3 linked regions of the Rattus norvegicus genome follow. The protein of the gene in region 2 interacts with the protein of the main gene of each other region in a biochemical or structural test. Links are inferred from orthologs where the notes say so. Each region holds a gene or a part of one and is shown on either strand. Other genes may lie near its edges.

Evidence for each region.
Region 1: of the proteins of Prkn (region 2) and Mfn1, one has a biochemical effect on the other in vitro, tested with the Homo sapiens proteins (3 studies listed by BioGRID). The link is inferred for Rattus norvegicus from reciprocal best matches to the Homo sapiens genes PRKN and MFN1.
Region 3: the proteins of Prkn (region 2) and Ube2z form a complex in vitro, tested with the Homo sapiens proteins (2 studies listed by BioGRID). The link is inferred for Rattus norvegicus from reciprocal best matches to the Homo sapiens genes PRKN and UBE2Z.

What each region holds. Positions count from the first base shown.
Region 1 is NC_086020.1:117,239,864-117,244,534, forward strand, and holds the start of Mfn1 (mitofusin-1), read left to right. Parts: upstream 1-1,894; 5' UTR 1,895-2,110; exon of another isoform or gene 2,111-2,287; intron 2,288-2,652; 5' UTR 2,653-2,681; intron 2,682-4,381; 5' UTR 4,382-4,388; coding exon 4,389-4,500; intron 4,501-4,671. UniProt on the Homo sapiens protein: Mitochondrial outer membrane GTPase that mediates mitochondrial clustering and fusion. Membrane clustering requires GTPase activity. It may involve a major rearrangement of the coiled coil domains.
Region 2 is NC_086019.1:52,201,509-52,206,079, forward strand, and holds part of Prkn (E3 ubiquitin-protein ligase parkin), read right to left. Parts: intron 3,846-4,571; coding exon 3,682-3,845; intron 1-3,681. UniProt on the Homo sapiens protein: Functions within a multiprotein E3 ubiquitin ligase complex, catalyzing the covalent attachment of ubiquitin moieties onto substrate proteins. Substrates include SYT11 and VDAC1.
Region 3 is NC_086028.1:81,502,903-81,507,473, reverse strand, and holds part of Ube2z (ubiquitin-conjugating enzyme E2 Z), read left to right. Parts: intron 1-1,270; coding exon 1,271-1,382; intron 1,383-3,498; coding exon 3,499-3,611; intron 3,612-4,571. UniProt on the Homo sapiens protein: Catalyzes the covalent attachment of ubiquitin to other proteins. Specific substrate for UBA6, not charged with ubiquitin by UBE1. May be involved in apoptosis regulation.

The sequences.
Region 1 (4,671 bases), on a different chromosome or scaffold from region 2:
TACTTAGCCCTGAGTTAGAACTCCTGGGCTTGAACAGTCTTTCAGCTTCAGACTCCCAGTAGGTGCTGCTATACCCCTGCTTCTAATCCCCATTCAGGAAAAAAAAAACTTTGATACAGAGTGGGCATGTAGCTTAGAGGTAGAGTGTTTGAGAAGTAAGACTTTGGGTTCATTTTACAGCTCTACTTAAAGATAATAAAGAAAGAAAGGAAGAAAGAGAGAGAGAGAGAGAGAGAGAGAGAGAGAGAGAGAGAGAGCGAGCGAGCAAGCATTAAGTGGAATCTCTTTCCACACAGTACCTACAGCAACCAAAGTAACCTCATGATTTGGGAGATTCAAGTTAGTGAGAGTTACAAAGGCAGACCTTGCCTCAGTGCAAACAAACATACCAAATTTTATTATTCTCCCTGCCAAAAGTTTTCCATTACACCTAAAACCATGTCTTGTGCATATAAACATTTAGAACGCTAGCCTTTAGCAGATTTCAGCAGAATTTCAAGTTTAAGGCTCATTTAGGCTAAGTACTGAGACCCTGATTTAAAAGTCAGACTTCTTATCTTAGCTTTTATTATTCTACACCTGCCTTCCTTCCAACATTTATTTCGCTCACCCTCATCCCTCATCTTTCCAACACTCCACCATGCTTGTCTTTTTTTTTTTTTTTTTTTTTTTTTTCCGGTGCTGGGGACCGAACCCAGGGCCTTGCGCTTGCTAGACAAGCGCTCTACCACTGAGCTAAATCCCCAACCCCTCAGAGCGGTCTGTGCTCTTTTTCTTTCTTCTTCTTTTTTTTTTTTTTTTTTTTTTGGAGCTGGGGACCGAACCCAGGGCCTTGCAAGCGCTCTACCACTGAGCTAAATCCCCAACCCGCAGTCTGTGCTCTTAACCGCTAAGCCATCTCTCCAGGCCATGCTTGTCTTTTATTTTATCCATCTTACCACTGTGCTTTCTATGTCTTTGGACAGTTTTTCTCCAGAGATTCCCAGTAATGGTCCTGGAAAGCCCCGAGAAATGACATCATCCTTTCAGAAAACACACACCTATTTGGCTCCTCATTTCTTATTTTTCTTCGGACACTCTATCCTCTTGCCCTGTTTTTTGTCCATAATAGTAAGCCCAGTCCAAAATGACCTCATTCACTGTGCATGCTCGATAGTTACCTATCCAACAGAACCACAGTTTTTATTTATCTAGCTCTTTCAGGTGCCTATCAGTGTCTTAAGCACTTTACACACTTTCCCACAACTCATAAGGTAGGCATTTTTTTAGTATTTTATAGATGAGGTACCTGCCGTTCACAGAGATGAAGGGGCTTCCCTTGCAAAAGCATCTCATTTGCTAACAAACTCCCAGGACACCTGCTGTGGAAGCTCTCCAGGAAAGTGGAACACAGAGTCTTTGGGCTTTACCCTTGATCAATCAATCAACGGTTTAACAAGATTCCCAGGTGATTCCTAACAAAGTTTAAATCATGGACAAATTAATTTTCTTAAGTAACACCTCTTACAGTAAGTAGAAACACACAGCTCTCTCCAGTAACCCCAGAAAACCAATCAAGACCAGACTTTTCCCTGTTGGCTTGATAAACAAGAATCTACGTGGTTTTGGGACGCCCCCTCCCCACTTCTCCCCGCTACACCCCAAGATAACCATGGGCATCTTTTCATACATGGCGCCTTTGAACTTTGAAGACTCTGAAGGGAAAATACTCTGAAGGGGAGGAGTTATAAGATGGAACAGAAAACCCAGTGATTAAGAGTGCCTGCCCAAAACAAACCTCGCCTTCTACCCTGAAGGAAAATGGCACTCGCAATATATGCAGTTCCGGTTGCGGAGCAACAGCCAATAGGAGATCCGAATCACCGGAAGTATCCGCCCCCAGCCCCTCCTTTGGGCTCCTCCCCGCTCTCCGGCGGACGAGACAGCCAGGGAACTGTGGCGGAGCAGTGGTTGCTGGGTGACAGTCGGGAGCTGGGACGGAATGAGTGACCGCTGGCGGGTGGCGACGCCCGGGGTGACCTTCGAGCTCCGGACAGGCGCAGCGCGAGCGCCCTGACGGCAGGGCCGGGCAAGAACGACCGGCGGCCAGCCTGTGGGAAGGCCTGTCCAGGTAGGAATCCAGCCGGCTGGGCAGGCTTACGGCCCACGCGGCTTCCTCTCCCCACGCACCTCCTCCGCGCCGTCAGTTCAGGATTCTGGAGGGAGCCACCCTCCTGATGACCTCGGCGCTACGTTTGCCGGCATTAGTGTGTGATCGTTTTTGGTGGCTTTTCATGGGAGCTTCCAGGTTGAACGTCTTTCACTTTAGATTTAACATTACTTTTAAGTTTGGGGACTTTGGCTTGAAGCCTTCATGCCTCCTTTAGGTCTTGACCCCGTAATTGTGACGAAAGCTGCTGCCTTCTTGATGCTTGTACTGTATTGTGACCTGGACATTTTATTTTCTTCTCTACACCTCTAACTGGGAAAGTTAATAACTTAGTTATGTTTTGAGATCTTGGCTTCCTCTGACTAACCCAGGTCCCTGAAGTCCTTAAGAGTCACATGCACACAGTTTAGCTAAACTAGTTTGGAAAATAAATTAGGAAATACAACCAAGATTTCTGTCACTAGCCTTTACCGATTTTACATTTATTATATTTACTTTTCCAGAACTGAAGATTGGGCCCCTCACATGCTAGGTAAGTGCCTCTATACCCCTAAACTCATTTCTAAACGTCTGGTTTTGAGACAGAATGGACTAAGAGACCCAGGCAAGCCTTGATCTCACTCTGTTGACTCTGTAGACTTGAATTTTCAGATTTTTCTGTGTTAGGCTCCTAAGTAACTGGTTACAGGCAAAGGGGGGGGGCAAATTTCATGCGTTTTAGTGGGAGATCACCTAAGAGTGGTCTTTTGTTTCTGACTAACATGGTTTCTATAACTAAGTAAATAATACCAAAATGTATTTGATCTATTTGGTCAGGTTAATTTTTTGCTATTAGGGAATTGAGACATGTCAGGCATGAACTAGCAAGTATCAGAATAAGTATGATTTTAAAATGTTTGTTTTTAGATTTTTTATGTGTATGTTTTTCCTGCATTTATGTATGTATGTTTAACCACAGTTCCTGCCCAGTGCCCTTGGAGGTCAGAATAGTGCATAAGATCCCCTGGAACTGGAGTTACAGGTGGTTGCAAGCTACGGTGTAGGTCCCATAAACCTGATTTAAATCCTGAAGAGCAACAAGTGTTCTTAACCCCTGAGACATCTGCCTAGCCCCAGAAACATGCACATTTCAAATGTTTTTGTTTTTTGTTTTTGTTTATTTTTGAGACAGGCTTTCTGGTTGTCCTGGAACTTTCTCTGTAGACCAGGGTGGCCTTGAACTCACAGAGATCCGCTGTCTCAGAATGCTGGGACTATGCGTGCATCACCATTGCCCACCACTGCCCTGTTTATCATATGGTTTTTTTTTTTGGTTTTTTTTTTTTTGGTTCTTTTTTTCGGAGCTGGGGACCGAACCAAGGGCCTTGTGCTTCCTAGGTAAGCGCTCTACCACTGAGCTAAATCCCCAGCCCCTATCATATGGTTTTTAAAATAACATTTGATTTTTGTGTGGAGGCGTTAGACTTTCACAGTTTGGCTGTATAGTCTTACTGGTTGAACCATTTTGAAGGATTCAGAGTTTTTTGTTTGCTTGGGCTTTTTTTTTCTTTTTTCTTTTTTTCTTAAAGATTTACTTAGATATAAGTACACTGTAGCTGTCTTCAGACGCACCAGAAGAGGGCATGGGATTCCATTACAGATGGTTGTGAGTCACCATGTGATTGCTGGGAATTGAACTCAGGACCTGTGGAAGAGCAGCCAGTGCTCTTACCTACTGAACCGGCTCTCCAGCCCTTGTTTGGGTTTTTTGTTTTGAACAAGGTTTACCAAGGCTGGCCTCCTTCAGTCTTGTCACTGCTGGGATTACAGACCTGGGACACCACACCTCCTTTACCATTCACCTACTTCCTTATTTTATGTATAGGGGTATTTTGGCTGCATGTATGTGCAACCAAGTTTTGGTGTACCATGTGTGTACCTGGTGTCTGTGGAGGTCAGAGGAGGATATCTGAACTCCTGGAACTAGAGTCCTAGACAGTTGTGAGCTGCCATGTGGGTGCTGGAATAGAGCTGGGTCTTGTAGAAGAGCAGCCAGTTCTCTTTAACTGTTGAACCACCTCTTCATGCCGAGCTTTGGTGATGAGGAAAGCCCTGCTATGTTATGTTGTCCAAGTAACCCTGGATTTCCTGGCTTGAGTGCACCTCCTCCCTCAGCCTGTCCAGTAGCTGAGACCCCAGGCATTTATCACCCGGAGGCTAATGACTGCTTTTCTAACCTTTTTCTCACCCTAGGTGCATAATGGCAGAAACCGTATCTCCACTGAAGCACTTCGTGCTGGCAAAGAAGGCCATCACTGCGATCTTCGGCCAGTTACTGGAGTTTGTTACTGAGGGCTCACATTTTGTTGAAGGTTGGTGCCTCTTAACATAGTAAGATTACTGTTGAAAATGTACACAAATGTTTTATTATTTCAACTTTAGTTCTTCATTTTACCTTTTCGAGATCAGGCTTGCCTTGAAATGGCCGTGTAGCTTCTAATCCTGATCCTCCTGCCTCTGCCTCCTGAGTGCTGTGTACACAC
Region 2 (4,571 bases):
GACTAATATTCTGACTAACCCTCTGCTGATCTATTAACAGCAAAGCATTTAGTGAAAATACAATTAATTCTGCTCAAAAGTCCAAATAGATACTAAAGTCTCTCTCATTGCAGCAGTTAATATAATGGTAAAGTTCACACCACACATTCACACACACACACACACACACACACACACACACACACACACCACACATACACACAGATGTTTGCCCAGAGTAAGCCAATATAATGGTAAAGTTCACAGTTTGGGATATAAACAACTGTACTAGAATTCATTTTCCTTGTATAATTTTTAATAACAAATTTGAAATTACAGAGGGTGATTTGAGGAATTTTGACATGCAGTGTGTTGTGTTTGGCTAAATGGAGAAGAGTGACTCAAGTGGGCTTTTAGTACTCGGTTGCAAGAGCTGACAGGAACTCTTAGGGAAGGAAGAAAATGGGGCTTTTTCTGTTTGTTATAGTGGGGAAATAGAGCACACATACATGCACACATACACAGCATAGCATGACGCTTGCACTGTTACTGCTACCTCATCTCTAGCTTATTTTACACGCATGGATTATGATGTCTGAGGGGAGTCTTGAGATGATCTAAGAACGGCCATCAGGATACCCACAGTTAACAATGACACACATTTGTAAACGTAGGCTTATACATAACCCTTTCACATGAACGGACACATTCCTTTCCTTACAAAGTTTCAGCAAGACTGCAGGGCTCAGTTATTTCTGCCTTTAAAATGAGCAATGTGAGACAAAGAAGCCAAATTCTCCAATGTGTATCCTGTGTGTTAACATCCATTTGCCTTGATTTGTTACATTAAAAACTGGACACAATCTAAAGATTTAATAGGTAGATGAAGATATCAACACTGTTAGAATACCATGCATGTGCTTAGCATGATATTATGTTAAGGAAAACAGTCTTAATGGATGCAAAATCGACTCACACTCATTATGACTTGACGCAAGTGTCAGCCATTCATAAAGGCAGGGGCTAGTCCATGTGGCCGAGCTTGATAGACAGCATTTCTCCTCTGAGAACTCTCCAAGTATGTCTGCTTCCTTTCAGTGATAAGTGGAGCTGAACATATTACAGAGTCCTCTGTCACTTTCACCAAATTCCCATTGCTTATAACAGAAATTAAAAAAAAAAAAACTTTGTGTCTATGTGTACAGTGTTTATATGCACAAACACATTCGTGTGTGTGTGTGTGTGTGTGTGTGTGTGTGGACAAGCACACATGTCAGTTCCCACCTTCACTGAATTTGCGGCAGGGTGTCTTGTTTACTGCTGCCAGGCTAGCTGCCCTGTTAGCTTCTGATGTCCCCTTAAGAGCACTGGAATTACAAGCAACTGTATAGGGCTATCGCTACGTCAGGCTTAAAGTGGGTTCTGGGATCTGAATTCAGGTTTTTGTGTTTCTGTGACAACCTTTGTCACTGAATGATCCCCTCAGCCCCTAAGAACAGCTATGTTCTGCTTTTATGTTTTAAGTCTCGGAATTTAGAGTCTGTAGGAAAGCCTCAAGAGTGCCAGTTGGGTGGACTGTACTTCCTGACACGCGTCCTTGTCACCGAAATGAGGATACTCATACTGCTTTGTGCTCAGCCCTTGGTGATTGAATCTATTTCACTTGCTGTAAAAGTATTTCTCTCTGGGCAACTATCTGTGAATATTAAATTTGCACCCTACATCCAGACCCAGGTTCCAACGGTTAGTTAAATATCTCTCCATAAATATCCACTCCTCATAAACTCTCAGCACCCCTGGAAATTCAGCTCCCTTCCCATGGCGTTTTATGGAATCCCGTTCACTGCAGGGCCAGGTCTGTCAGGATTCTGTCAAATGCCCTGCCGACTCCATCTTTCCCTCTGTCTTCAGTATCGCCTCCAGCTTCCGGAAGGACGAAGCCCATCTTCCCTCCCGAGGCTGTGGAGGGTGCTGTCCTTCCACCAGAGGAATCCTCATCTGGATTCAGTCCATTTGGGAGCTCTGTCCTGGTACCTTCCCAGTCTGCACCTTTGAAACATCACGATATCTATGGGCTATACAGCATTAACTATGCATAGCATGTGCGTACTATAGGCTGGACCTCATGGCACCTCAATGATTTCATCCTATGTGGTGCTGGCAGACAGTTTGATCTCGAATTCCTTTACTTTAGAGCCCTAAGCGGGTAAAGAGCAGACTTCTGGAATGAACTCCTTTTCACCCAAGCCCCTGAGAAGCTCTGAGCACTGGAAGCTCTAAAAGTGTGAACCAAGCTAATACTGTTGAAACAATGCATAGATTTTTATAAAAATCAGTCCCCCACAGCAGTTAATCTTACTGAATAAGGAACAGCTAACTGTTACACTCGCCCCACCTTGTACAGGCGAAGGGGCTTTAAAATCTAATGGTTCTCATAATAAAGTCTATCTGGACTCAAGAAACAGCTTTAGAACCATTTATTTGAGAAGGAGACCACTTAGGTTTAGAAGTTGGCAGGAATGGCAGAAAGCTTTTTAGTTGACTGAAATAAAAAACAAAATCAAAACACTTCTTAGCACAGGCACTTCCCTTATGAAAACAAATAGCAGGAAAGCAAGGCACAGCAGTTTCTGCACAATGGGCGTGAGTCCTACTGCCACCAGCGGGGGCAGGGAGAATAGCAGAAGTGATTTGCATTTCTATAGTTTCTTTGTACACCCACATTCCAAAAAGCTTTTCACAAAGCAGCGAACACCTCAGTCCACAAGAGGACTGACGGGACTAGGCAGTCTGAGGTCTGAATACAACACAGATCCCCATCCAACTGGGAGCAGGGGCTCAATTCCACCATACACCGAGAGGAGGGAACGAGCTTTTCCCTGCTTCTAATCACTTGAGTAAATGTGGCCATTTCTGCTGAACTTCCCTCCAAAACACTCACTGTTCTCTCATTCTAGGCAACCGGCCTGCGCATCGATTGCTAACCAGTTCCTTGGATGCCTGCAAAACTCATTTCTCCAAATGTACAAGATGCCATAAAGAAGAGGGTTTCCATGGCACAGCAGGGGCCAGATACACAGGAAGCAGAACCCCATGGTTCACTTGGTTCTGTATCGGGGTGTAGGCCAGGGATAACTCTGTATATGCTTGGAGATACGAAGATGGACTTTTGCTGTGTAATTTCCAGGCTGCCTATCCACCGCTCAGAGCCCTCGGCAAATGGGGCCCTGGGCCAGTGTCTGCTGTAGTCCAGGCAGCAGCTGTGAGTGTCCTCCAGGGGTCACAGTCGGGTTGTAAATCCCTCACAGAGCTTGGGCTGAGCAGCCTTATAGGGAACAATTTATTTGAATCCTTCTTCATTAAGATTCAAATGGAATAAGGAAGGTAAAAATTGAACAGACCCAGAAATTGTGCCTTCCTGCTCCCTCAGTCAGTAAACATTTATTCACTAAGCCGAGCGCCTGGCTTCTTTCTCCCCCTCTTGGCTCACTCACACTTGTTCCTCCAGTCCTTCCTGCATACTGTTTTAATGCATAATTAAGAAGGTCAGAATTAATGAAGCCGTGTGGAGTAAAGTTCAAGGAATCCCCAGGCACTATTTATTCTATTAGATCTCAGGCATGAATGTCAGATTGGCAGCATAAACTGCAAGGGCCTTGGCCCTGGCTACATCCCAGGGACCACCCACCCAGGGAGACTCACCTGTACTGTCAGGTGATTCTGCAGCTCCTTCCCAGCAAAAATCACTCGCAGCTGGTCAGCTGGAACCCCCTGTCGCTTAGCAACCACTTCCTTGAGCTGGAAGATGCTGGTGTCAGAATCGACCTCCACTGGGAAGCCATAGCTGGAGTTGAACCTGACAAACACTAGACAAGACCAGGGGCAGAGAGAGAAGAAAGAACATTACTCCAAGCCTTTAATGGCCAGTGAAATGTCTCTGAAGCCTCTTGCCCCTCACCTGCCCTCCAGTGAATGACAAAAATTTTCTCTCATTTATAACAGAGAAGTTTATTCTATAGAGCAATAGTTAGAAAAAAAAAAAACAAAAAACAGAAACAAAAACAGTTTTCCCAAGGTGTTTCCTGCTTATACCCTGGCCAGTGACCTGCAAACCAAGACTGCTTTGTGCCTTTCACAGTCCTTCTGGAACAGAGGGAATCAAGCGGAGAATTTGCTTGATTGGAATCTCGAGATTCCCATGAGTGTATAGAATATTCTGCTCCAACAGACTGAACAAATGCTCATTCCCTCCACAGAGTCCACTGCATTAAACTCAAAGGCAGAATGTGGCTGCCCCAGAAAGAAATGTTAGAAATGGAAGGCACTATGCAGACAGCTGAAGAGAGCATGGGCCCTATGATAGGACGCTGGGCTCTGTGAAAGAACTCCAGGCAAGGCTTTGAGTCTAGGTTCTGTGAAGGCCTCTGCTCACTGTGTAAGGAATTTGCACCCTGTGTTCTTAGTTCACAGGTCACAGTGGATTTCTAAAGAGATCTTGAAGTGACATCATCTCTGCTGTAGCCACCACTCTCTTCATTAGGCTCTGGCTAGATACCATGATGTCTCCCACAGTGTCTTCTCATTCCCCTTGT
Region 3 (4,571 bases), on a different chromosome or scaffold from region 2:
TAAATGGAATGAGAACTAACCCTGTCGGTGTGAATTGCCACATGTAAGGGGGACAGCATGGGAGAGAGCGCTCTCTGGAGGTTTACTCCACACCTGTGACTTGGGTCTTCCTCAGGTGTAGAAGGGAAGGGCCATGGTTACTTAACTGAAGTAACCCAGTCGTGGCTCAGGCTGTGTTCTGTTTCCATCTCTCGTGCCATCTTGTTAATTAAATGAGCTAAAATAAATACCTGTCGGGGGTTGGGGATTTAGCTCAGTGGTAGAGCGCTTGCCTAGCGAGCGCAAGGCCCTGGGTTCAGTCCCAAGCTTCGGGAAAAAAAAAAAAAAATACCTGTCATGCATGGTAGGACAGATTCCTATAATAAGTTCAGGGATACTTGGTCTACTTAGCAAGTTCTAGGACAGCTAGGACTACATTAGTAACTCCCTACCTATAAATAAATACTGACACCTACCTCTAAATAAATAAAGGAAGGAAGGAAGGCAAGCATTGGCATTCAAGTGCTCCACTCTAATACCTAATGTGGTTTAACCAGGAGTGGTGTAGTATATTTCTCATCCCTGGCATTCAGAAGGCAGAGGCAGGAGGGTTGCTTTTAAGTTTAAGAATAGCCAAGGATGTATACCAAGACCCAGTCTTAAAAAATATGTGTGTATGTGTGGGATATTTTCCCTGGTGTTGTTTTCTATCTGATATTTTACATATTGTCAGACACTCCACATTCTGTAAACACCCCATCGTTTCTGTCTTAGCAGGGTTGTCGTAGTCAGAGAATTTGACTCTGCTTGTCTTGTTACAAAGCTGAATCTATAAACTTCAACATGTGTCCTCATAGGCCTCAGTCACCTTTATGCTTTTGACTAGCTGCTCTCCCTTCACCAACTCTGTTACCACCAGTAACTAATAAGTTCCTTGAAGTCACAGGTTAACATTTAGACGACCTTTAGAGTTATTTCCCTAACTTGGGTTCTTGTTTTGTTTGGTAGGATCACCTTCCTTGGTCACTGTTTATTTTCTAGATCAAAGAGCATCTTTTCAAAGTTGTAGTTCTTGCTTGCTCTCTGTTTTATTCTCATTTGATGAGAGAATTTAGGCATTCGCCTATTCTGGTGAATGAGGGTAAAACAGAGGCTGGGAATTTCCCAAGTGTTAATAGTGAAAGGGCAACTTGGGTGAGTCACTCACAAACGGTGGGGATGCTGCTGGCGTCAGGGTGATGCTGCACAGGGCTGCTCTCGGCATCACCTTCTCCCTCTGCTGTGTTTGCAGTACGTGGACTGGCCCCGCCTGGAGCCCAGCCCAGAGCATCTCTTCTGTGCTTATCTCCATCCAGTCCCTGATGACTGAGAATCCCTACCACAACGAGCCAGGCTTTGAACAGGTAAGGGCTGTTGGGCCTTGTGCTGAGACCTGCAGTATTGAGCTGTAGGTGCTCTGAGCTACCCTGGAGAGTCCTTTTCTGTTTTTCCACCTAGATAGCCTCCACATAATACTAGTATATAGAGAGGGAAAGGACATAAGTGCTCTTTATTTGCAAGAATTGCAGTATCAGCTGGGCCTGGTGAAGCACACCTTTAACCCCAGTCCTAGGGAGGCAGAAGCTGGTGGAGCTCTGAGGTTAAAGCTAGTGTAGTCTGTGTGGTGATATCCAAGCCAGCTAAGCCTCCATAGTGAGACCCTGCCTCAAAAAAGGGAAAAAAGAAGAAAAGAAAGAAAGGAAACAAACAAATCTTACAATAAAATTACTACATATTTAGCTTGGGTTAGCCAACTTAGTCGAAGTAGTATCATTTAGAAATCAGTTTTGAGGGTTGGGGATTTAGCTCAGTGGTAGAGCGCTTGCCTAGCAAGCTCAAGGCCCTGAGTTTGGTCCCCAGCTCCGGAAAAAAAAAAAAAAAAAAGAAATCAGTTTTGAGCCTATTTTGGGAATTTTTGATTTTTTTAATTTATTTTATGTATATGGGTAGTTTTTTCTATATCTATGTTTGTGTACCTCATGAGTGCCTGATGCCAAGGAAGTCAGAAGGGGGCATCAGGTCCCCTGGGACTGGAGTGAAGAGACATCAACAACCATGTGGGCCCTGAGAATCAAACCCTGGTCTTCTACAAGAGCAGCAGGTACCCTTAACTGATGAGCATCTCTGCAGCTCCATGCCAATGGGTTTTTAAGTGTGTCTGCATTCTGCAGTATGGCCTTAGTGTGCTCTGCAGTGACTGCTGCCTGAGGAGCTAGCTCCCTCCCCCGTATAATACCAAGGATCAAATATACGGAACTTAGCCGTGAAGTGCTTCCCTAACCCTTTGAGGTTTTCATTTTGAAACAGGTTCTGAGGAGTTGTATAGGTCAGTCTTGAATTCTCTATATTCCAAGCAGACTTGAGCTTCTTTTTTACGTAAGATTAGTTTTTGTTACTTGTACTTGAGTGTGTTGTATGGTATGCCTGTGTGCACATGTGCACATGGCATGGAAGCTAGAAGAGTTGTAGAGGGTTATGAGCTGACAGGTATGGGTGCTGGGGTCCAAACTTGGGTCCTCTGGAAGTCTTTGTAACCACTGAGTCATCTCTCTGGTCTCCTAGACCTTGAACTTTAGATCCCCTTGCTTCAGTCTCTCCAGATGGTGGGGATCACAGGCCTGTGTCACCAGGTCTTTCTCTAGCTGTCTATTATTTTGGAGATAGGATGTGTAATTATTTACATAGTTAGAGTAGCTAGTCATTAGTTAAGACAGGGATATTCTAGTTGGCACTGCAAAGGGCATAGGAAATACACATGGCTATATGCCAGGCTGCGCTAGTCCTGTATATTATACATTGTTTAGTATTCATGCTAACTATAAGGTAAATATTGTCCTAATTTTCAGGTGAGGAAATAGAGGTTTTCTTTTTCTTTGTTTTGTTTTTGTTTTATTTCTTTTTTTCCCAGATGGTCTCATGTAGCCCAGGCTTAACGTGTGTGTGGTGTGTGTGTGTGTGTGTGTGTGTGTGTGTGTGTGTCTATGTGTGTGTGTGTGTGTCTGTGTATGTTATGCACATGCATGCTTGGGATAGAACCCTGGAGCCAAAGTGCCTTATAACTTATTTGCATCTGTTTAGCCCAGCTTTTGACTCTATGTTTATTTGGAGTGTTAAAGATTGTTCCTTTGATAAGTTTACAGAGATAGAGGAACCTACAGAGAAGAAAGAAATTAACCAGGCAGCTCCAGAATTGTTCCCCATTAATCTTTACTTAATAAGTCTTTTATTGAGACGCAGAATAATCTGATGGATCGTTTGCTGATTAGTTATTTGACCTATAATATAATAGAATGGGTGTTTTTATGTGTAGGGAGGTCAGGGGTCCACGGCTTAGCCGTCTTGGATTTACAATGGGAAAGGCATTCTTTTCATTCTTTCACTGTATATGTTTGGGTCATGTACTCTGTATTAACCCTGAAGTATCTTTGCACTGCTTTTCTCTTTGACTAAATGGGTACTATGGCGTCTGTCAAATTACAGGAAAGACATCCAGGAGACAGCAAAAACTATAATGAATGTATCCGGCATGAGACCATCAGAGTTGCAGTCTGTGACATGATGGAGGGCAAGTGCCCCTGCCCTGAACCCCTACGGTATGTGCCCAGAGGACCCACTAAGTGTTTGTCCATTTCGGAAACTTGGTTTGCGTCTATGAGGACCTTTGTATCAGAGTCTGTTGTCAAGAAAGGTAGAAAAAAAGAGAAAGATGGATTTTTTTTTTTTCTTTTCTATTTTTTGGAGCTGGGGACCGAACTCAGGGCCTTGCGCTTGCTAGGCAAGCGCTCTACCACTGAGCTAAATCCCCAACCTGGATTTTTTTTTTTTTTAATTCCTTTTTTTATTTGCTTGTGGTTTTTTGTTGTTTTGTTTTGAGGCAGGGTTTCAGTATGTATGTAGCCCTGGCTGTCCTGGAACTTACTATGTAGACCAGGCTAGCCTTCAGTTCACAGAGATCTAGATGCCTCTGCCTTCTGAGTTCTGGGATTAAAGGTATACACCACCACACCTGGCTCCAGACCTACAGTCTTTTACGCTGGCTGGGCAAGCACTTCACCACCAAGCCCCAAGCTTTTGTTCTCTTACCTGATACTCCTTGGGTTGTGTGTTTCGCACATTCACCTGTGGGTGGGTGCGTAGCAGCCAGAGGCCAGCATTGACATCTTCCTCTATTCTCTAGCTTTTGAGATGGGGGTTTTTGTTTTGTTTTAATTTTAATTTATTTATTTATTTTTCTTTCCTTTTTAAGATTTATTTATATATTTTATGTATATGAGTACAATGTAGCTGCCTTCAGACACACCAGAAGAGAGCATTACAAATGGTTGTGAGCTACCATGTGGATGCTGGGAGTTGAACTCAGGACCTCTGGTAGAGCAGTCAGTGCTTTTAACCAGCCCAAGATGGGGATTCTTTATTGAAGCAAGCTGGAGTTGACCATTTTTGCTTGATTGGATGGCCAGCAAGACTCCAGGATCCACCAGTGTTCTCCCTGGGAGCATTAGGGTTGTAGATGTGTGCCATCACAGCGTATACATGTGTGCTGGGGATCTGCA